Linked DNA regions of Alligator mississippiensis. The protein of the gene in region 2 interacts with the protein of the main gene of each other region in a pairwise test. Links are inferred from orthologs where the notes say so. Each region holds a gene or a part of one and is shown on either strand. Other genes may lie near its edges.

Region 1 (7,712 bases), on a different chromosome or scaffold from region 2:
CAGCCCAGCGTGCCTGGCTCTATACCCTGCGCGGCCTCGTCAACCTACTGGTGGTTGCCCTGCTGGGAGTGGCTTTCTACTGCATCTACCTGGCCACTGAGTACTCACAGAGCACGCTCAGCCAGGTAACACCCCACCACAATGCTGGTACCTGTCAGTCCTGATGCATAGCCCCCAGGCTTCCCTGTCTTCAGCTCTCCCTGCCCTGCTGGTGCCCCTCACTCCCAACCCAAAGCTCCCAGCCCTGCCCTGGGCTCCCCCAGCCCCACTGGCACCCCTCACTGCCATGGACAGGGCTGGTGTCCGCTCCCCAGGGCACTGCAGCTGTCAGGGGGCATGGGAAGGACCTGCTCTCGCTGAGGGCTGTAGTTACCTCCCCCCATTTCTCCCCTGCAGCAGAGTGTCGCACAGTCCAAGAGCAAGGCTTTCTGGGAACTGCTGGTCTCCTACCTGCCCTCCATCATCATCACGGGAGCCAACCTGGTAGTGCCTATGGCCTTTGGGGTCCTGGTACGCCTGGAGCAATACCCGTTCAGCCAAGAAATCAAATTAACCCTTGTCAGGTACCAGGGATGGGAGGAGCCCTGCCACATCCTGCCTCGTTTTGCCATTCCATGGCCCCTCTAACCGCCTCTGTCTTCCTCCTCTGCCTGGACAGGAGTGTCTTCCTGCGCCTTGCCAGCCTTGTGGTCCTGCTTGTCTCCCTCTGGATGCAGATCACCTGCCACGGGCAGACCGAGGCCTTTGATTGCCGTACCTGTGGCTACAACCACCAGCACTTCCCGGTGAGGCCAGGGCACCTGGGTTGTCTCCCAGCTGGAGAAGTGGAGTCGGTTAGAATAGAGAGGCTGGAGGGAGCAGACTTGACTGCAAGACAATGCCATGATGTGTCTCCCCACAGTGCTGGGAGACCCGGGTGGGGCAGGAGATGTACAAGCTGCTGGTGTTTGACCTGCTGACCATGCTGCTGGTGACACTGCTGGTGGAGTTCCCCCGCAAGTGAGAGGGGGTGGGACCTGGCAGGACAGAGGCTGGGGGATGAGCTGTGGGTTGGAAGGGCTGTGGAGAGTGTCCAGGGTAGGGTGGAAATGACTGGGGGAACTTGTAAGGGAGAGCTGGAAGTGGGGACTGGAGAAGCTTGTAAGGAATGAGCAGTTGGGTGTAGGGGGAGGCTGGGCTGGGCTGGGCCAGGCTGGGCAGGGAGGGTGTAGTGGGGTTCTGGAGAGTCAGGGCAAGGAGCCCATGGGGCTGAGTCAGAGAGCAGAGGGCCAGGCCCTGTCACCTCATCTCCCTCCCCCAGGATCCTGGTAAGCCACGGCCCTGTGTTGCTTGCCCGGCTTTGGGGGCAACAAGAGTTCCTGGTGCCCACCAATGTGCTGGACCTGGTGTACGGCCAGACTGTGTGCTGGGTCGGTGCCTCCTTCTGCCCGCTTCTGCCCCTGCTCAACACCCTCAAGTACATCCTCCTCTTCTACCTCAAGAAGGTGCGCCCCAGATGCCTGGATCCTCTCCTGGCCCTAGGAGGAGCGGAGGGGTCTGGTGGGTTAGAGCAGGGCGGTGGGGCCTGGGAGCCAGGACGCCTGGGTTCTGTCTCAGCTCTGAGAGATGAGTGGGTTAGAACAGGGAGCTCTAGGAGCCAGGACCCCTGGGTTCTCTCCTCCCCTGTGGACCCATCCCTTTCTCCCCTCCCCACAGCTCACCCTTTTCTCCAACTGCCGTCCTGGCGACCGGACCTTCCGCGCCTCCAGCTCCAACTTCTTCTTCCTACTGGTCCTGCTGCTGGGCCTGGCCATCTCCTGGGTGCCGGCGCTATACAGCATCTTTGCGTGAGTCCAACCCCCACACTGACAGTCCCACCCTGTTCCTGCTCCCCTCTCTGATCTTCCTGTGCCAGGGGGAGCAGGGGTTGGGCAGTGGCATCACTCAGTGCCTGGCTTGTTCCCCAGGGGCTGAGTCCTGTCACGCACCCCTGCCTGGTTGCTACAGCCCCAGTTCTTTTCACTCCTTGCCTAAGGGCCAAGGTCCTACTCTCTCCCATGTCCAAGTTTTCCTCTCCTCTCCCTGACCAGTCCCCCCTCTCCTCTTTCTCTCATGCAGCCTCCCACCGTCCCAAGCCTGCGGCCCCTTCCGGGCTGAGTCATCTATGTGGAATGCTGCCTTGTTGGCCATTGACGGGCTGCCTGAGCTGGCCAGGGGCTTCTTCTACTTTGTGGGCTCACTGGGCTTCATCGTGCCACTCTTCCTGCTCCTGTGGTGAGAATTTAGGCTAGGCTGAGGAGGGCTGAGAAGGCTGGGGAATCTCCCTCGGCTGAGAGTACACAGAGAGCAGGGATGCTGTGGGGATGGTGAAGGAGTTATATACGCATGTGCACAGGTGCATACCCACACACATGCACAGCAGCGCCTCTCTCCCAGTCCACAGAGCTCCCTTTCCCTCCTCTCAGTACCCCCTGCCAGGCCCCTGCCCAAGCCATCACTTGATGCCAACCCCTAATTCAGTCCCTGCCGGTCCCCTCCTCCCCCACAGCATCTTCCTGTTCTACCTGATGGCTCTCGCTGACTCCTACAGCCGCCTGGTCAAGGAGCTCAAGATGCAGCTGCAGCTGGTGAGTCACATCCTGGGGCTAGGGCAGGGTTCTGGCTGCCTGGGATGGGGATGGAGAGGGGTACATTCCCCTCTACTGGCTCTGATCTGGGATCTAAGCCCCAGGAACAGCACTAACCAGCAGGACACCCTGAAGAGTGAAGCCAAAAGCTTCATCTTCTTGCTGCTGACAAGGAAACTTCCCCCATGGGCATAACTGTGCCTGCTTTGACCACTAGCCAGGTTCCTGGACCTGGCATACCAGGGGAGGTGGGCCCCTGAGATAATTGAAGGCAGCAGTACTGACCCAGCTGGGTTTCGCTCCCCTTGCAGGAGGGCAGAGACAAAGTCTTCTTGGTGAACCAGATCACAGAGCTGAGCTGAGGGGGCACCATTTGCTCCCCACCCCCCTGCTGATGGGGGAAACTCTCCTCCAGTTGATTTCATGATGATTCTGCACCTGCCCTGGATCCGCACCTGCCAAAGCAATTGCACTTCCCCATGCCAAACCCTGGCCCCAGTGGATGGAAGCTGCAGTCACTGGGACAGCACCAAAGTTTTTGAGGCTGTACGTAGAAATCTCTTAGCTGACCCCGAGCTGCAGCCATCTCTGGGGTGGGGCACGGAGACCTGTTAAGAAGCACACAGTGACACTGCTCAGTTTAGTCCTGGAAGCCAAGGAAACAGCTATACGTCAGTGGTGCTCAACCTATGGCCTGCGGAGCTCCCCACGGGTTTGGGAATTTGGCAACAGGGAAGTGGTAGCAGCGTTAAGGGCTGCAGCTCCGGCTGCCACCGTTCCCCCTGGTGCCAAATATCTAGATCCATGGGGACCCCCCCGGCACTGGATGATATGGATCGCACCCATGGACTGCCCCTGTGCTGGATCAGCCCCACAGACAGACCACATGCGTGGGATCCAACCCATGAACTGGCCCCGTGCCATTCATCCTGCCCATCAGAGAATCACCAAAAGCCATAGAAAAGTTGGGCTGGACAAGACAGGCTGAGTTCTGCTGCTGTAAGTGCCTGGAACAGCAGGGTGAATAAACAGGAGGTGAAATTCAACAGCTGGGAACCAGAAACAATCAAACCTCCATCCATACCCAGGTGAAGTCCATTGGCCTCCAGACGTTATGGGTTTCCCCAGGCAAGCTGTTAGCAGGGATTGTGGACCACAGCTCCACTCCTCCCCGCTGTGGCTCTTTGCAGAAAATGGTCCCCAAGATTTTTTTCCTTGGACTCTGTACCCTACACCTGCCTTTCCTTCCCCAGGGGCAGCACTGCCCCAGCTTCACCAATCACATGACAGCTTTCTCTCTCTCTCTCTGTCAACCGGAGTGTTTTTTCACCCCCTACAATTGGCCACGGCTCTCTGTGGGCTCCTGAGCTGCTGGGGGCCAAGCGTCACCAGCAGAGACGGGTGGTAGGGGAGCAGTGAGAGAAGGGGAGAGAAGGACTCTAGGACCCTGGGGTTGCTACAGGGTGCGCTACCGGGCTGCTATGCCGCGACAGGCACTGCCACTCCATGGGATATGCCATGGCATTACCACATCGCAACTCAGCCTTCACGCCTCTGGGAGGGAAGGACACTGAAGGGGAGGTTTGGTGGGCGTGGGCACATGTGCACACACATGTATGTTCATGACCTGGATCTGGCAGCGAATGAGTGATCACCCGCAGCAGTGACCTCAGGCCTCCCCTAGGGGCCCTAGGGTGGAAGGGGGCTCACGTGGGGGCGGGGCCAGGAATGTGTCAACAGGCAGGAGTAGTAGGATCCAATCAGAAATTACATGGTTCTGGGTGGGGTTTGGTCTTGTGGTTCCAATCAAGGGGCTGTGGCAGGGGGCGTGGCTCTGGTGCACCAATCAGGGACGAGGAGGCTGGGCAGGGAGGTGAGGAAGCCAATCCAGATAGGGAGGTGAGTTAAGTGGGTGTGAGGAGAGAAGGGGCAGTATCCCGGTGGGAGGGAGGCGGCTTCCGCAGGCCAATCAGCACGCACGCTGGGGCAGGCACGAATTTGGTGGGGGGGGGAGGCGGGATAATCACGCACCAATCAAGGAGCGCACAGTTTTGCTCTCCAATCAGAGAGCGAGGGCGGAATCCCTTGCAGCCAAGCAGACATCGCGCCGAGGGGAGTGGGGGGGACTTTAGTGCACCAATGAGATAAAGAACGCAGCAAGCCAATCAGCCAGTGGGTTCGTGACCCGGAAGCGGAAGCGACGGGAGAAGCCTACCTGCAGCACAAACATGAACATCCTCCCCAAGAAGTCTTGGCACGTGCGAAACAAAGACAATGTGGCCCGGGTGCGGCGGGACGAGGCCCAGGCCGAGGATGAGCGGCAGCAGCGGCAGGCTCGGGCCTTGCTGGCCGAGCAGGAGGTGAGTCACTGCGCAGGCGCGGAGCCCGCCCCCCCCCGGGCGCATGCGGGTTGGTCACGTGACTCAGATGGCTCGTGCCTTAAACCATTTTGGAGGGATGTTAGGAGCAGAAATCTGAGCCAAACCATTTCCCGAGGGGGCGGGGCGCAGAAAATCGCTGGGGACTAAAGTGCGGGGAGGGGGAGAGGAGGGAGCTGGTTTGAACCACTTCTGAATTGCGTCAAGGATAAAAGAAAAGTGGAATAAACTGTACTAATGGCAGGGGGAGAGAGGAAAGAAGCTAGATTGTACTGCTTCCAGCTGGGGGGCAGAGGGCAAGGAAGAGATCCTTCCCTAGGAAGTGCCCCCCCTGAGGCTGGAGGGGGAGGCCTCTGGGCCACATTCCTTCTTCCAGCAGTGTGGATTTCAGCTCCCCCGTTGGACAAGAACCCCAGGGCCCTGTGGGCTCCACGCTGCCTCCTCCATGTCTGCAGCTACCTTTGCCCTTGGGTGACATGAATTTGTGGAATCTCAGCCCAGATCCCTGCTGCCTTTATTATGCACAGCAGTAGTACCCCCCAGCTGCCCTGGGGCTGGCCCCCTTCCCCAAGGCCCAACACTGAACGAGCCATAGAGTCCTGCAGGTCCTGGCCCTGAACCCCCCTCCTTCCCTTGACAGCCGTGTCCCCCCTGCAGGCACGGACCAAGTTTCTGAGGAAGAAGGCACGGCTCTTGGCCCTGCCGGAGCCCGATAGCAGCTCGGAGCTGGCCCTCTGCGGTGAGCAGCCACATCACGTCGACCTCTTCCGTGACCTGGAGGATGGCAAGGGCAGCAAGGCAGGGAACAAGGAGTATGAGGAGGAGAAGCTTAAGGAGAAGGTAATGAAAGAAGGTTGGCACATCTGAGGCCCCAGGGGACCTGATCGGACACCTGTGGGGATGGGATGCCCCCACTCATAAGAGCTGTCATTGACTGGGTCACCCTATAGGTGCATTGTGCCCAGTCCCCTGCATCGTGCAGGCAGAGTGCAGATGCTGACGAGTAAACAGGGCATGACTAGGGCTTTTCCCATTGTTCCTCTGTTGCTTGCAGCCTCCCAGCATTTGAGGTCCAGGAAGCTCTGATTCACAGGCTATATTGCTAACTCCCAGGCTCAATAGCTACTGCTGCACTTTTCCTCCAAGAACTTGTCCAGTTGCTTTTTTAATGTGGCTGTCAGCTTCCACTACATCTGCTGGCAACGGGTTCTCAACTTGAGTTGCACAGTGTGTGAAAAAGAGGTTCCTTTAAACTTACTGCCTGCCACTTTCATTTTGTGACCCTTAGTTCTTGTATCATGAGTGACAGCAAATACTAAATGGTGAAAAGAAAGTAGACATGGATTTATTATTTTGTAAACCCTTCTCATGTCCCCTCTCATGCAGCTCTCTTTTTAAGTTGAACAGGCCTAGCTCTTTAGTTCTCCTCATATGGAAGCTCTTCCATACCACTCTGGGGCTCTGATGGGGCAGGGATGTGACTCCACTGTCCATCCCCCCTGCCCCGATTACAGCTGTGCTTGGCCATGGCCCCACAGCATTTGCACCCTGGTGTGTCCATCCCCTACCCCTCAAAATCTTAGAGCTGTATCTCCCGAGTACGGGCCTCAGGCCTTGAGGCCAGTGGAGGGAGTATCCACCCCCATAGGCTGCACTTAAAAAGAATACCCCTCCATTCAGACTCCTATCATACCCCTCCCATGCACAGGAGCACCAGGAGAAGGCCATTGGGCTGCTGACATATCTGGGACAGAGTTCAGCTGAGGCCCAAACCAACCCACCCTGGTACCAGGAGGCCCCAGACTGCAGCAAGGAGGCAGCTGACATGGTCAGGGATGAGAAGCTGAAGGGGAAGCTGGACCCCCTCATAGAGATGGAGAAGTACCTGCGGAAGAAGAAAGGGGAACAAAAGAAACACAAGAAAGAAAAGGAGAGGCACAAGGAGAAGGACAGGCGCAAAGAGGAAAGAAAGGGAGTGGGGTGAGTGGGACATGAGCAGGGCTGGATCCTGGTATTCGGTTTACTGGAGCAGGGCTGGGCCTGTGCTGTAGACTTCTACCTACATATGCCAGCAACTTCAGGCCACAGGGCCCACAGCCTGTCACTCCTTTCTCTTGTCCCTATAAGGGGTGGGAGGCCAAGTGGGAAGTCTTGTACTGCTTTCCCTTCCCCTCTTCATGTCCTGCATACCATTTCTGCTCCCAGCCAGCCCTCACTCCAACTGTCAGGAGGATGTTAACCCCTTGCTTTTTATCCCAGGACCTCTGGCCCCACTTCCCTGGAGGAGCTAAGGCAGGAGCGGCTGCAGCGAGAGAAGGCAGAGCGAGCCAAGGCAGAAGCCCTGCTGGCTGGGATGCGGGGAGGGTCAGTCAGCTGCAGGGAGGAAGTGGAGATGGACGACAGGAGACGCTGCTACAATTCTCAGTTCAACCCACAGCTGGCCCGGAAACCCCGGGACCAGGAGGAGCAGCGCTGAGCTGGGGTGCAGAATGGGGGCTTTGGAGCTCTAGACATGGAACTGCCTGAATAGGCACTATAGCAGGGCCAGGGCTCCAAGGACAGAGAATGGGAAGGCTCCAGCCCTTCAAACCACAAGGATGTTTCTGTTCCAAGGACACAGGATGTCTTTTTTGTTACACCTCCCCTTAACAATGCCTCCCTGGACTGGCAGGTGGGGAGTCCCTCCAGTCCTCCATGGACTTTGCACCTAAGAAGGGGCTTCATGGAG
Region 2 (7,925 bases):
GCTGTGTGCCACATGCAGAGGCTGCTCATGTCACTTGTCACACTCATGCCTCAGATTGGCCACCCCTGTTCTAGAGTAACCTACAGTTATAATCCTAAAGATACATGGCATTCTTATACTACAGGAACCTAACCTAACAATACCAATTATGTGAATTTTAACCTTTATTTCTTCCATACATATTCAAACTGTCTTTTAATACATGTCTGTATCACACCTAATCCCTAGGGTCCCACTCTCATGAGGTTTTTTGTGTGTCTGCCATACAGGTTTTGAAAACTTGCACAATTTAATAGTGTGCTAGAGATTTTCACAGATTAGTCCCACACTAGACATGAGGCCATGATTTACTGATGACAGAGTTTTTTCAAATTCATCTGAGAGCAGCTAAATTCGACAGTGGTATTTGCCAGCAAACACAAATGTTGCTTTTTATGCTAATTAAGCTGAGGTAAGCTCCATGAGAAATGAGGTAGGGTCCTGAAAGGTTGTTGGTTTGGATACTGGGATTTTACGCAGAGGAGGGAAAGAAGAAATCTTTGGAAAATGCGGGCTCAACTGTGTTCCTATTGAAAACAATGGGGTGAGACCTTTGACTCTGTCTTCCCAAATGACCCTGGGGAAAAAAGGGTGCTTAGAAGCTAAGGTCTGGCTAGGACAGAATACCTACAATGCAACTTCTGTCTTCCAACTATTTTCTCACAAGCATGCTGGCCATGTCAGAAGCCAGGCCTTATACTACAGGAAGTGCTATGGCTCGCGGGGGATAGTCCCTGGAGGCTGCCCTAACTTAAGGAGAAGGCAGGATAGGTTTGCACCTTAAAGACTAATGAAAATGGAGATATCTAAGCTTTCTTAAGCAGTACCTTGCTTCATCAAATGCTCTGAGGGTCATCATAGCATCTGTTAAAAACAAGCCACAGCTTACAAAGGCTTTAGGCATCTCTGATTTCAGTAGCCTATAAGGTACAAATCTATCCTGCCTTTCCCCAACTTCAGACTCATACAGGTAACTGCCTCTCTCTGCCATAACTTAGGCAAGCCTCCCAAGGGTCACACCGCAGTGAGAAGCTTGGATTTTTTCCCCCCATTATTTGAGCCAAGTGAAAAAATGTATGTCATGAAAAAAAAACCCTTTGGTTTTCCTTTCTGGTTCTCATGCACAGTCCCAAAGCATGGGAGGGGGATGTGGTCATGCCCCTGCTGGAGAACATTTACATTTGGGGAAAGTAACAGGAGCAAAATTTTCTCCCCAAGCATGTTTTTTATTCAGCTTAGATTTTGTAAGCCACTCCCTGTGACACTTCACTTTCTAGAAGTCTAGCTCACCACTAACTATACTGCTACTACTGGTATTGCTGGTTTTTTTCCAGTGAACTTGACTTAGGAAAATAGTATTATTTCATGCTGAGTTGTCCTCCCCCCCTCTGATGGGCTGAGGTATCTGGGAAGGCAAAGCAGAATATTTTCATTTACTATATGGCTATAAAAATAGGAAGAGAATGCCCTTGTGTTTATATCAATTTTGAGTCAAAAGCTATGGGTTTTATAGTTGCCTTTGCTTCAGAATTCCTATGCAACCTTGGGGAAATAAGTGATTTTTTGTGCCTCAACTACCTTGCCTCTAAGATGCAGGTGGTTACCTCATGGGCATTACTTCATCAGCATTTGCAAAGCCTGAAGATACAAGTAATGTTGTGTCAGGAGATGCTTTAGCCATGTCTCCACATTGCCAGAACTAAGCTGTTGTAAACGTTTTCACCAAGCATGCTAAAAACCAAAGCTGATGTATGGTTCAGAAATATACTTCTAGGTGCTGCTGGTACCTTTTGCAAAAAGAAAAATTAACCCAAATCATGTTTTAATATGATGCCACACTTCTGACCCTGCTTATTCTAGCAATCCAGTTATAGTAGGCATTACAGTGCAACAACCAAACCTGAGTATCATCTCTAATAGACTTATCTTTTTCAATAGTGTTCTGGGAAAATTTTAAATCCTATTACACCCTTTAAACAATGAAATGTATCAGGTTGTGTAAAGCACTAGGCCAGTGCTGATTCTCCCCCTGCAAAAGTACAGTAGTCCTGAAACACCTCCCATCCCCTTGTTCTGAAGAAGTTAAATTGTTAAGTAGTTGTATGGATACAGCATAATTGGTCATGCCACTAATTGTTTTTAACAAAGCAATGGACTACCTGCAGCTGTGCTCTTAAAGGGGATTATTTACAAAGCAAAATACCTCAACTGCTTAACCCTCACCTAATAAGGAACAGACTCTCAACATTTCCTTTAATTAGGAAAGAATCTTTTCTTGCTTTCATTGGTCTGCTCAGGTATCAGAAGATGGCTTTTTTTTTCCCCTTAAACCAGAAATACTTTTATTGGTATAGGAAGAAAGACCTATAATGCACTTAGGCCAGAATTTTGCATTAGACAGAAAAAGATTGTTGCGCCCCCTCAAATCAAGCATTTGCCATATGTCCACAGCCAGCGAGGCATTTAAAACCCTCACCAATACAAATGCACCACTGTATTTTACATCAAAGACAGATTTCAGGGAAGAAAAGAGATTAAATTATTACAGTACTACTGATTAAGAGTGTTGTGTTATTTTGTTTTTGGCAGATGCAACACTGGATGTTCTTTCGGCATAGGTGGTTGGTATTTTTTTTTTTTTTTAGCACTCAAGTTCTGGTAGTCTTAAAGTTTCAGCTAAATACCTCAAAACATGCATGTGTACTGTCTACTTGAAATCTACTTCAACTGCATGCTACTAAGCCTGAAGAAGTCTACACTACTCAACCATGGTCACTTTGCTGTTTTTGGATAGACAAGGAATATGTGATCAGACAAACACTAACTCAGGGTTGTCCTGGCATCCTAGGGCGCCTTGAGATCCTCTCAAGGATGATTTGTGGGGAGAGGGGGCTTCTTGGCTTTTTGCAACAGAATAATTGCTCTATTTTTCAGTAGTCAAAAACAAGTATAAGCTCAGAGCTGACATTTCCTAGGGAGCCCCCACTGTAACCAGGCTGAGGAGCACTCGCTGACTGGTTGCACTTTCCTCTAGCTCCAGTGGCTGTTCTAGCTATGCCTCAACAGTGCCACCCCCTCACTGAAAGCCAGCTTGGAGAGCAGTAGTTCCCCACTAGTCCGGAGTCAGGGTAGCTCCACTAGGCTAAAAAAACCCAACCAGATAACTAGCTTGATTCACACCAGAACATTTTGTGTTACATCAAGTCTAAATCTTACAGACAACTAATCTCAATGTCCCACATTACATACAATTTTTTTGAATTAGCAATGATCCTTCTGAGGCAGAGTTAATTCAATTTGTCATTTGATGTGACTGGCTGGGCTGCATCTGGTCTTGTTGGGAGTTGTGTCTTGGCCTCCTCAGGGCCACATAAGACCAACAGTCTGTTTTTGCTGCTGCCTAGCGCAGTGTGCCTCTGAGCCACAGTCACCAAGATCACCTCAGGCCCAGCACTTCTCCCTCAGGCAAGCACCTGTGGAGCCATCTGTCTTGCTCCATTTTGCCAGGTCACTTCTAACCTGTCAGGCTGTGAAAATAGCCAGCCAGTTTGTTGTAGCCCTGATTAGGCCAGAATAGGACTTGCACCAAAATAGCTATATGGCCCACTCCTTTGCACATGAGGGGTGAAAACCAGTGTTGCCCAACGTCTCATTTGTGCCATCAAAATTTCTGTGGCAGTGCAGGCACTAAGGCAACAGGCATCGGTTCCCGTTGCTGTACTGCATGAAAGGCAAATCAGCGGTGCAACAAGGTAGGAACAGACTCTGCTGCTTTATCACCAGGGGTGCACGTTCCCCCTGCAGACTGCCCCAGCTGCTTGCACTCTCCTGCCACCCCAGGAGGTGCTCTGGGGGCCTGAGGGTTGCCTCAAGCCCTGGGAAGACCAGGCTGCGCTCCCCAGGGCGCTGAGGGTGGCACCTGGGCTGGCTGCCCCAGTCACCAGGCGGTAGTTATGCTGCTGCTGAGACCAACACAGGGAACTGCCTCTGTGCACTTTATGTGAGGCGAGTTCAGTCAGCCAGGCTCTCCCTGGGCCAGGGAAGCACAGGCAGCCCTTGCCCTGGGGAGGGGGAAAGCCCCTCCGGGCTGCAGGGAGCAGAGCAGAGACCAGGCCTGGTCCCGGCCGTGGGGGGCGCCTGGGCCTGGCTTCGGCTCCGATGGTGGCGTGGCCCGGGGGCCAGGACTTGGGCCGAGCCCCGGCCGTACCGTGCGCAGCGCCTGGGTGGCGGCGGCCAGGCGGGCCTGCAGGGCAGCGCGGCGCAGCTCGGCCAGCGGCTCGCAGTAGGCGGAGTCCGGGTCGCGGGCGAAGAGCGCGTCCAGCACCAGGCGGCGGCCGCACAGGTCCAGCGCCCGCGCCAGGTAGCGCTCGAGCCGGCGGCACAGCTCGTCCATGGCCGCCGCCTCCTCCTCGGCCGGGCCCGCGGCGAACAGCAGCGCCCACAGCCCGCGGGCGCGACCCTCCAGCAGCGCGGGCGGCAGCGGCGGGAAGCAGGGCTCCAGGCCCGCGCTCAGCGCCGCCAGCTGCCGGTGCACGCCCAGCAGCGCCCGCGCCGAGAACAGCCCGGCCCAGCTGCGCTCCGCCGCCGCCGCCGCCGCCGCCTCGCCCGGCCCCGGCCCCGGCCCCGGCCCCGGGCCGCCCCGGCCCGCGCGGCTGTGGCACGTCACGGCGAACTGGGCCTCGGCCGCGTTCCAGCCCACGAGGAAGCGCAGCGCGCCCGGCTCCGGCTCGGCGAAGGCGGCCTGGCGCACGGCCACCCACCCCTCCAGGCTGTCGGGCTGCGCCGCCGCCGCCATTGCCCCCGCGCCCCGCGGGGCGGCGGAAGGGAAAGTGACATGGCCTGGGCTGGCGGGTGTTGGGCACCGTCACCGCGGCCGAGGCTGCCCATTGGTGGCTTCACTTGGGGGGAGGAGCCAAAGAGTTACCCCCGGAAGTGACGTAAAGGTGCAGGAGGAAGGGGGCAAGAGGGAGCTGCTGCTGCAAGTGACGAGTGAGGGCAGGTGCTTGTGGACTGCGGGGGAGGGTTGTACTTGAAAGCGCAGCACTGGAGGGTTCCCCCTACACACCACTACACCCCGCCTCCACCCACACCTACAACCCCCTTCACACACACACAGCACTACACCTCCACCCACACACCCACCACTACAATCTCCTCCACACACACACACACACACACACACACAGCACTACACCTCCACCCACACTCCCACCACTACAACCCCCTCTACAAACACCCTGCCACACAGAGCACTATAACCTCCACCCCCCCTCAACCTCTTTCTACACACTCACACACAGTACTAGAACCACCCTCTGCTCCACACACACCACCACAAATCTCTAGACACACACACACACACACACACACACAGCACTACAATTCCCCTCTAGACACACCACACAGAGCACTACAATTCCCCTTTCCACACACACTGTCTCTCCCTGCCTCCCTCCCTCCCTCTCTAGCTGGTTCAGAGTCATGGGCTGCCCCAGTTGCCCTTTGCCCAGCCTTGCACTTGATCTGACACCCAGAGGTGTGAGAGGGCAGCCGGGCACCCAGGGACAGCAGGTTGCACAGGGGCACTGGCAGTGTCTGGTGGCTGCCGTGCCACCGGTGCTGTTGTGCAGCTGTGTTGGGCAGTGTTATTTTTCTGCCCTTTCCCTGCCACTGTGCTGGCACCTGGGCCAGTGGCCCCAGTCACCACGTGCTAGTTATGCTGCTGCTGCTGAGACCAACACAGGGACCTGCCTCTGTGCACTTTGTTAAACATGGTTAGTTCTCCTAGGTTTAATTCAGAAGCAGAGCATGGGAGCACAGCAAACATCTGCAGCCCCTGAGGAATTGCTTGAGCACAAATAATCCACGTAGGAAATGGAGAGGGATGGGTGCCCTTCACTTTTATGTTGAGGGGAGTTATGTGACTGGAACATTTACTGAGAAATAGTGCATGCATCCACTACTGCTTCTAATACAAATGACTGAAGCATGGCCATCCTGCTGTCCCTCATCCTCCTGCCTTCTCCTCACCCCACCCCAGGGTCCTTCAGCAGTTAGGGCACTGAGGTGCAGAAATCCACCCCTGCTGGCATCAGTGTCCAAAAAGCAAACAGAACCAAAACTTTCTCTCCAAACTGTTCCTGGGAATAGCTTTCTCTTATTGCCTGTTCTGCTCCTCGGTAGTCTTTAGCCCTTTTCTTGGTTCAGCTTCCAACCCTTCTATGTTTCAATCAGTCCCTTCTTCCCTTTGCTGGCAGGGAAGGTGAAGCATGCACCTTTGCTGCAGGGTATCACCTTGCAAGATAACTGATCCCATGGAGTCATCCCTAAAACCTGAAGAGTTGGGCTGTGTGCCTAGGCCTTGCCTCATGTGTTTATGGAATGAATAGGCCGGTAGGCAGCAGTTATGGTATGCTCTATCGTACCTTTGTAAGGCTTTATAAAGCATGTCGTTTGGCAGGTTTATCTGATGGATGGAAGACTGCTGCAAAACATACAGATGATATTTGTCATTCAGCCAGAACTTGGTGCTGCTTTTTCTGTATTTAAATACACCAGTCTGGTCTTACTGGGATGGGGCTGCTAGAAATGACAGCTTTGGGGTGAAAGGTGATGTGGATGGTGCTCAGAATGAGAAAAAGAGTGTCTGCCATCCCAGAGCATCTAGATGTTATTGACGGAATTAGTACGGAAAAGGTTAACAGTGATGATATTTATACTGCCCTCTTTAATGTTCAGTATTAAAACCCCACTGACATAAATGAAAGGAATATACCTCTGTGAGACCTACTGTCCTTGTTTACTACTTCAAAGAATCAGGCAGCTCTACACCATTTGAAGTTCTGCTCATGCTTTTCATCTTCATAATCCATTTAAAATGGGCACCCAAGTGCTAGAGACACTCATGAGGTCACAAGAAAAGTCCCTGCATCCACAACTCATCATTTAGAGGAAAACAAACTGAAGGGAGGAAGAAATAAAAATCAAAGGAGGAAAAGAAAGAAGCAGAACCTTTTCCCTTTTGTCCAGTGAAACAGAATACAGCTTGTCAAAGTTGTTATAACTACACTGGCCCTTCCAGCTGTTCAAGATTCATACAGACACCGAGATGGATGAATAGTGAAGGAATTTCACCAGTTTGTCCAACTGCAAGTTATCTGCAATGTTCTTAAATACATTCAATTTCTGTGATTAATGCTTGCTCATGGCTTCTTTGCAAGCAGATCAGTGCCAGGGTTCGAGTTAAGATGTCAGTGTTGTTGACTGGACATTACCTAAAAATGCTATTGTAATCTCTATTGTTATTATTATTATGATTTATGCAATGTCTTTTAATGGGATTAATCAGTGCAAAGTCATTTTCTCTTGATAAGACATTTCACTTATCTAGTCAGCCATTTTCTCTGCATTTAGCCATTTTCTCTGCTATTTTCAGCTTCCAGGTATTTGCAAGGTGCATATATTGATATTAATATAAATAAACATATTTAATACCATGAACCCAGATCTTGTAGAGATGGAGCAGCTTGTGTGTCCCATTGTTCCTCAGAGCTAGGTCTTGCACTTTTGGCAGGGTCACCCATGGTGAACAGGCCTGACGGGAGGTTTCAGATAAACTACAGTCCAACCCCAAGTACTCAACAGCAGATCAGGCAGAAGATGATGACAGGATCTCAATGGCTGTAAAGATAGACGTCTCCTGTCATCTAGGATTCTCCTTGGCCACTGCATCCAGATCTCTACCTTGTTAACGTTACCTGGTTGTTTTCTCACATCAGCTCCCTCCTATTAAATGCAGTCAATGCAGGCTTCTACTACAGGATGATGATGACACATTGCTTGCCTGAACCATAATATTTTCTAGAATCTGATCTTGCTGTCCACTA
Region 3 (7,820 bases), on a different chromosome or scaffold from region 2:
CTTACCCTCACTCTATGAGGGCCAAGAGTTTATTATTCCACCAGTGACGTATTTTCTCTTCCAAAGGCATCAGCTTTCACATGTGCCCTCAAAAGAAAAGCAGTAGTGTGTGCAACCTGTTAGAACCAGATGACACACACAAAACAAATGTCCATTATATTAGACAAGTTACTGCAACAGCAATCAACTATTCATCCTTTTAACCTTACAGCTTACTGAACAGAAGGGGCAAATGGACTGCAAGAGAGGAATCTGCCTCCACCTGAAGTCTGTCTCCGGTTCTGAGGTGTCAGGGAGAACAACCATCAAACAAAAGACTGACACCTGTACACCAGCAAAAAAAAAACAAAAAAAAAACCTATATATGTCAATAATAAAACATAATGATCAAGCTATAAATGAGAGGGGTAAACGCACTATATCCACTTGAGATAAACAATGCAGTTGACTTATAAGTAAACATAATGCTTAAAGAACACTCTGAACCTACCAAGCCTAGAAGCAGAAACCCTCTATCCAGGAAACAGATCCAAGAAGCAACAACTTCTCCTACTGCCCTTTGACTTACCTAAACTTAGTTCTAGAGAGACTACTTCTAAAGATTTGGAGGATCATCCCACCTTCGCTACTACTTCGATTATCCAGATCATAATCAAAAAAAGCCTACTAACAACTAAAGTATCAAGTAATGACATTTTACTAAGTGTAGGACTGAAATCACACTCATTTGACACACCCACTCATGTATTAAGAGCTGAGGACACCAAGTTTGAACACTGGTCCAAAGATAGTGTCATCTCAATGTATTACACACAACCAATTACTTGTGTGGAAGCCACTGGACAGAATCCAAATGTATTAAAAAAATTGGAATCCAAGTACCAATTTTTCTAAAAGCAGGTAATCCTGGTCCCCATAGCCACCACATAAATTGAGCAGCTATGTGAATGCACTGCAGATCAACATTTGAAAGAGTTACTGAACACATGTAATCAGGCTAAAAAGAAAAGAGAGAACAGCCACCAAGGAAGCTGAGTAAACAGCCAACATGCACACAGCGTTAGGAGAAAGATGATGGCAGGATTCTCACTGTGCTGTTCTCGGGCCCCGCTCACAGCAACTTCTTTGGATCAGCTCTCCTTCCTAAACACTCTGGCTGCCAAACAGCACTCTCCTTTCACCCACCCAGATCTTCTTGTTTCTCCCTTCCCTCACACCCAAGGCACTTCTGTGCCTGCCTCAACCACTGCTTAAAAACTTGCCTATGCAGCAGCAGAGCTTGGCTGACAGGCAAGATTCTCTGCTCCCCGCATGGTTCTGAATAGCAGCAGCGAAACCTAACAGCAACTTACTTGTTGCTGCTTGGGAAGGCTCAGAACAACAGACACCAGAATAGTCTGCACAACTGCTCATGCTGACAGCACAAAACCATTTCATATTTTTGCACACACTTCTCCTGCCTGCAGATTGCAGAAGGCCTTTCCACGCAGCACCAGGATGTGCTCAAAGACTCTTTAATGTCTTTGAGAAACCCTTGAAGAACAGTAACAAATTAATGGTGTATAAGCTGGTTACTTGCACTGGTCAAAAAGAAATCCACAAATTTATCTCCAAATTACCAGAAGCACACTAGAACAGGGTTACTCAACCCGTAGATCCCAACCCAAAAGGGGGTTACAAGAATATACGAAGGGGTTGCAAAGAAACTTTAAAAATGGATTCTCTTTTAAAGGAGGAAAACGTGAGAAACTGTGGTTTTTCCCTTGCAGGCTGGCAGAGGTCTGGCCTGCAAGGGCCTGCCCCGCCACCCCCACCACTACCATCACCACACTGGGGGCCGGAGGCAGCACTTCAAGAGGGTGAGGGGCACTGGGTCGGGACTGGCCATCAATGTTTACAAACAGGTCCTGGTACAAAAAAAGACATTGAGAACCACTGCCCTAGAACTAGCCCCATGCCGTCAGTTACTTTTTGCCTCCCGGATGTTCCAGTTTAGAACACCGAATCGATGATCAGATGCGACACGGACAAATCCAACGTTCCCACTCCAATTCAGAAGGTTTTAAATAATGCCCCAGACCCCAGGGGAAACATCAGCTCCCCTACTCTTCCCTCAGCCCTGCAGAGGGTCTTGGGGAAGTCATCTGCCCCTTTCACCTGAAGCTCCAAGTTTCACAGCCCTCTACAGGGAAGGCATTACCTTTCACTAGCATTTGAAGAGCGCTTCCATGAGTGGCTACTGAGAAGTACATGTGTGTAATGGAGGGCAGTGACTCTTTTTCAGGGAAAGAAGAAAAAACCAAAACAAAACAAAACATCCTTGAGCTTTTAACCGCTACCATGACCCTGCAGAAGGTCCAAAGCAGCCCTGGGGAAGCGTACACCCCCAGCTACACTCTGGGCTCCAGTTTCCAGCCAGCTCCGGGCATTGTTTACTTCCCTGCTCCCAGCCCGGGCAGGGCCGGACCCCACCGCCTGGAAACAGGGAGCAGGAAGAATGGCAGGGAGCTGGGGTCGGCGTCCACCCGCGGGCCGGATCGACACTGGGAGCGGGGCAGGCACCTCTCGGCAGCAAACAAAGAGGCCAAGTTTGCCCGATCACCCAAAGCCAACCTGGGGGCAGCGGCCGGCGAGGACCAGAGCCTCCAGCACCACGGGGCACGGCCCTTCCTACCCCCAGCCGGACCCGGGGCAGTACCCCCCGCGCGGGACGGCAGCGCCGAGCAACAGGAGGCGCCGGAAGCCCCCGGGGGAGGGAGGGGGGATCGCGGCCCGGTCTGGCGCCCCCGGGGCACATGGTCCAGACTCCCCCGGCCCTGGGAGGCGAGGGGGAGGAGTTAGGGGGAAGGGGAGGGGGGGCACTCACCCCCAGATGACATAGTTGGTCTTGACGTTCTTGGGCCAGGAGAACTCGCCGAAGATCACCTCGTCGCCCTTCACCACGATCTCCTTCTTCTGCGTGTTGTACTGCCGCAGCACGCTCAGCACGTCCGCCATCTTCCGCCCCGCGCCCGGCCCCGCTGCCGCCGCTGCTCCACCCGGCCCGGCCCCGCCGCCAGCCGCGCCAGGACCCCGCCGCCAGCCGCCGCCAGGGCCCGGGCTGCCCGCGCCGAACGCCTGCGCCCCGCCGCCGCCCGCGCCCGCCGCTAGGGGGAACCCTGCCCTTCCCCGCCCTGCGCCGCGCCTCCCCCCTAGGCCGCGCGGCTCCTTCCGGCGGCTCTTACGGGCCGCTGCGGGGAGGCCGCCCTGCACCCCACGGCCAGCGGGGCAGGGCTGGTGTCCCTCGCCCACTGGAGCTTTGTTGCCGGATGCACAGTGATGGCACTTGTAGGATCATTTCAACTCTTGCACGGTGCACCGTTAATAATAGTAAAACTGTCCAAAATGCACCATCATTTTGAAGGTACCTAATTGATGTGACCTGAAAAACCCGAGTCACTCTCTGAGAGTCTTAACCCACTTTTGGTTTGCCTTCTTTAATATAAATTTCTATAAATACAAGTTTTCCTCATTTATGCGAGCTCTGTACGTGCAAATTCACTCTTATGCCAAAAATTTGTTATAAAAGCAGGTAAATTCACTCTTGTGCGATCTGTGTGGTGGAAGCCGGCAGTCAGCTGCTTTGTGCAGTGCATTGTGGGAGTGACACCAAAATATAGTCTTCTGTGTGGATCGTTGTCTGTGACACGTGTTTCTGTAATTGCCATCCATCCCCATTATGGTAGTGCCCTCTGCTTGTGTGTGCTGTCTGCTGTTGGTGAGTATCAAAATTGTCTTATAAAAGTGGTAGAAATGTGTCTGGGGGTCAGTACAGTCGAGGTCGTGGAACGTATCCCTATTTGTTACATTGTAAAGTGGGTTCCATTTACGCAAATTCGAGTTATGTGCCATTTTGCAGGAACACGTGTACAGCATAAAGGAAGGGAAATCTGTCTATAGAAAAACACACACACACACATATGTACATATACAGGCAGCCCCACTTAATGCTGTTTCAGTTAGCGCTGTTTTGCTGTAATGCTCATTTTACCTTGATACACAATTCCACTTAGTGCTCAGCGAGTTTTGTTTTGTTGTAACACTTATGGGCATCGTACAGCTGGCGGCAGGGAATGTGCGCTACAGCCACAGTGCAGCGGTGGAACGCAGCCTTGTGCAATTTAGCACCAATTTGCTTGTGTCACCATCTTGGTTCATCAAAAACTTGTGTGCCTTACGTTTAGCAATTAATTTTGACCTTTGAAATCAATCATCGTGAGTCAGAAACGTGCATCAGAAACGTGCAACCGACTCTGTAACTGCAAGTGCTGAGAAAAAGCAGCACAAAAGCTTAATGCCGGAGCTTATATTGGATGTCCTGAAGCAAACTGAATCAGGCAAATGCAAGAATGAGGTCTGTATACCATTGGATTTGGCTTTGGATTAGAACGTTTGAATTAGATCATAGAAAATTAGGGTTGGAAGGGACTTCAGGAGCTCATCTCGTCCATCTAGAAGTTTGAATTAGATGTCCAAATTGAGTGATTTTTATAGTGCTAGTGGGGAGCCGCATTAACGAATTATATTTATTTACATTAATTCTTATTGGAAAATTGGTTTCGCTTAATGCCATTCTGCTTAACACTTGTTTTTTTGGGAACCAGTTAACACCACTAAGCAGGGGCTGCCTGTGTGTGTGTGTGTGTGTGTGTGTGTGTGTGTGTGTGTGTTACCTCTAACAACTCATCAAATGACCATTGTGGTTCACTTGACAGCCCAAAACACACTTTACCAGTTAACCTATTTTACTCCAGTTACAATGTTCGCACCACACACCCATGCACCTATTGCCATTCAGCACTTTCTTATGACTGCTTGCCTCAACATAAAGCAATGCTTCAACTTCATGACCCAATTCTCACTCACTCATTGGCGAGTTATAATGAGCAGTACAGGAAACCCTCTCTATTCGTGGGTTCAGTATTCACAGTTTCAAATACTCATGAATGCCAAACCCACATTTTAAATACACTTTACACTTGGAGGAACTCCTTGGGAGCTCCGCACTAGCTTCCACTGGGCTCCTGCCGTCGCCACTGGAGCCGTGCCCCCACCCCTGCCAGCTGCCAGGGGCACTGCATTCATGAGCACAGTGCCTTATTTGTGGATTTTGCCATTCACGGGGGATAAGGGAACATATCCCCTGCGAATGGCAAGGGTCGCCTGTATAAAGTTGATAAGGTTGATTTGCATAGTTATTTGCATATATATTTGCATATTTTTCCAGTGTACAGTAGTTTGCATCAAATACGATACTTTTGAGCTTCCAATACAATAATATTTAAGACCTGGCAACACTGCACTGCAGGGACTAACAGGGTGGCTAGGTAGGGGGCACACTGGGCCAGGCATCTCAGCTGTAGGGTTGGGGTAAAACTAAACAAGCTGCCCCAATGCAGGGCAACCTCCCTTGACAGCCTGCTCCTGCCAGGCATGTGGTAAAGACCCCTGCTGTGCATTACATGCATTTTGCAGATGACTCACACAGTCAGTTGATACCAGCCACACATGCAATGTAACAATTGCACCATTAACTGGTGAATTGTGCAATAAAAATGAGTATTCAGCTATAAAAAGAGCCAGCCAGCTAGAAAGTGCTTGAAAATGTATAACCTCCATCTCCTCCCATCACTGGCATTTGTCCAGCCTGAACTGAGCATGTAGCAGGGCCCTTAGAAACACCTGAGTAAGTGGTGCTCTGTTCCAGAGACCAAGCAGGCCACTGGATAAGTAGTGTTGTGAGCACTTCTCTGATGTGGCTGCATGGGTTGAACTGAACTGGCCTGTTGAACCATGTCTAGACGGGCACGGGGGTGCGGTATGTGGCGCCACAGACCCATCTTCGGCACTACATTCCATACCTGCAGGTGTTCCCTGAACTGATGCTTTGCAGTACTACCCCTGGAAATCCTGTGGTCCAAAAAACCCACACCAAAAAAAACCACGGTGGTGCATGTGGCAGTAGAGCATTTCACCCAAAACAGGAGCCTGGCAGGCTGGAGCTATGTTCTGGCTGCTGGCCATGCTCTCTGCTGCAGGAGTGCTGCAGCTCCTTAAGGCCCCCATGACCCCACCCAGGTAAGGCTGCTGGGGCCCACAATTGTGCGGGCCCCAGCCTCCTCTACCCCACCTGGTGTAACTTCCCACATGCCAAAGCACACATGGCATGAGTGTTCCCCAAGGACAAGCAGCAGCAGCAGCACAAAGTGTGCCACTGCTACTTGTCCCTGGGAAAGCACATATTCCTACATATCTGGACGTGCCCTCCTGGGTAATGGCTCAAATGTCTCCAGAAGATGGAGCACAAAGCAGTAATTGTAAGGGTTTATCTGCTCCATGAATCACAGTGGTGTAATAGACGTGAGAGTCACCAGATGGCGCTTTACGCATTCTGATAACTGCATAAAATCAGATCCTGAAAAGAATCACATTAGGGAAGGTGTCGGTTTTTATTAAGAGCTGGCTCTATCAAATTAGAACTTCATAAGTGAGCAGTAAGTTTTGGCATCTCCTTTTCGGGGTGTCTGATTTTATTTTGTTCAAATTAGAAATTCATACTGAATCACTGATCGCTTCTTAAACGACTAGGTGTTACCAGAAAGTTAGTTTTTCCTGTGTAGACTCAATGGAATCACTGTGCATGGCAGATGAGAAACTTCCTGTAGAAGATAAAACATATATCCATGTAAAATAAAGAAAATATTACATGGTGACAAAATCCCATAGGAAACATAATTTAGTGTTGATTCTGCTAGCCATATCTCTAATACAGTTAAATAATTAACTGTTGATCAAAGTATATACATATGAAAAACAGAGCAATCCATGTTATGCCGGATTGCACAATCTATTATGAGCGGCATTTCTATTTTGACACAGAGGGCAGAGTTTAGATTACGATTTAGATTGGTGCAACCTACTCTGTCAGCTACATTGTTTATTGCAATAGTAATTTGCATTGTCTTTTTCTAATGGTTCATAATGACTAAACTATCAGTTTGTGAATTATTCTGCCTACTTAGATGGCATAGTAATAGAAGCACTTTGAGACATGCACACATGCTTTCAGACTGAGTGCATTCTTCCAAGCATTCATTCTGCAGTAGCAATCACAGAGAAATTGTTCTGAGTCTTGGACATAATGCACACATCACAAAAATACAATAAAATATTAAAAATCAAATGCCACAAAAATGTGAGAGAAGGCATAACTTAATTTTTACTATTCAAAACATACCATTTCAACAAGAATAACCAAACTTCAAGCAAACATCACCATCGCATATTTATTGAATTTCATAAGCCAAAATTCATGTAATTAATATCTTCCCATGTTTTGACCTTATTGAAATTAAAGAGTTGAAATGATGGTGGATTTCCTCTGGCAGGGGTTTATTTGTCTTTCTCATCACTGCAAATTATGTTTTATTTTTCTCTTCAAGTCTAAGTAGACTGGGAACCTGTCATTGTTTCTATGTTTTAAAAGTAAAAGTAGCATTTGCTGTGCTGATGTGCAAGAAATATTAACGTGTGTAATAACCAAAAATATACACAGAATAGATTACATGTTATATCAAAACCAGCATAATATGTGTGCGCTAAAACATAATAATGAAATGAATGATATCATCTACTAAAAACACAGCAGCCTCAGAACTACAGCACAGTAACTGTTTATTCAACACACTGTTTAGCAGGTGAATAATTTAAAGACAATTTAAAGTAGGCAAAATATAACTGCCCAAATTGGAATCTGATATGGCCAACAGAATTAACTGATC

The links.
Region 1: the proteins of FSD2 (region 2) and LENG1 interact in binary tests that used the Homo sapiens proteins (3 or more experiments, as listed by UniProt). The two-hybrid records come from large-scale screens. The link is inferred for Alligator mississippiensis from reciprocal best matches to the Homo sapiens genes FSD2 and LENG1.
Region 3: the proteins of FSD2 (region 2) and CDC73 interact in binary tests that used the Homo sapiens proteins (3 or more experiments, as listed by UniProt). The two-hybrid records come from large-scale screens. The link is inferred for Alligator mississippiensis from reciprocal best matches to the Homo sapiens genes FSD2 and CDC73.

What each region holds. Positions count from the first base shown.
Region 1 is NC_081828.1:38,487,567-38,495,278, reverse strand, and holds the start of LENG1 (leukocyte receptor cluster member 1), read left to right. Parts: upstream 1-4,656; 5' UTR 4,657-4,834; coding exon 4,835-4,966; intron 4,967-5,641; coding exon 5,642-5,824; intron 5,825-6,692; coding exon 6,693-6,964; intron 6,965-7,243; coding exon 7,244-7,460; 3' UTR 7,461-7,712. Other genes in the region: TMC4 (transmembrane channel-like protein 4), read left to right, coding at 1-125, 397-563, 659-785, 902-999, 1,301-1,484, 1,696-1,826, 2,098-2,253, 2,528-2,606 and 1 more.
Region 2 is NC_081834.1:18,309,588-18,317,512, forward strand, and holds the start of FSD2 (fibronectin type III and SPRY domain-containing protein 2), read left to right. Parts: upstream 1-4,876; 5' UTR 4,877-5,028; intron 5,029-7,925. Other genes in the region: WHAMM (WASP homolog-associated protein with actin, membranes and microtubules), read right to left, coding at 4,247-4,834.
Region 3 is NC_081828.1:62,038,409-62,046,228, reverse strand, and holds the start of CDC73 (parafibromin), read right to left. Parts: upstream 3,057-7,820; 5' UTR 2,998-3,056; coding exon 2,867-2,997; intron 1-2,866.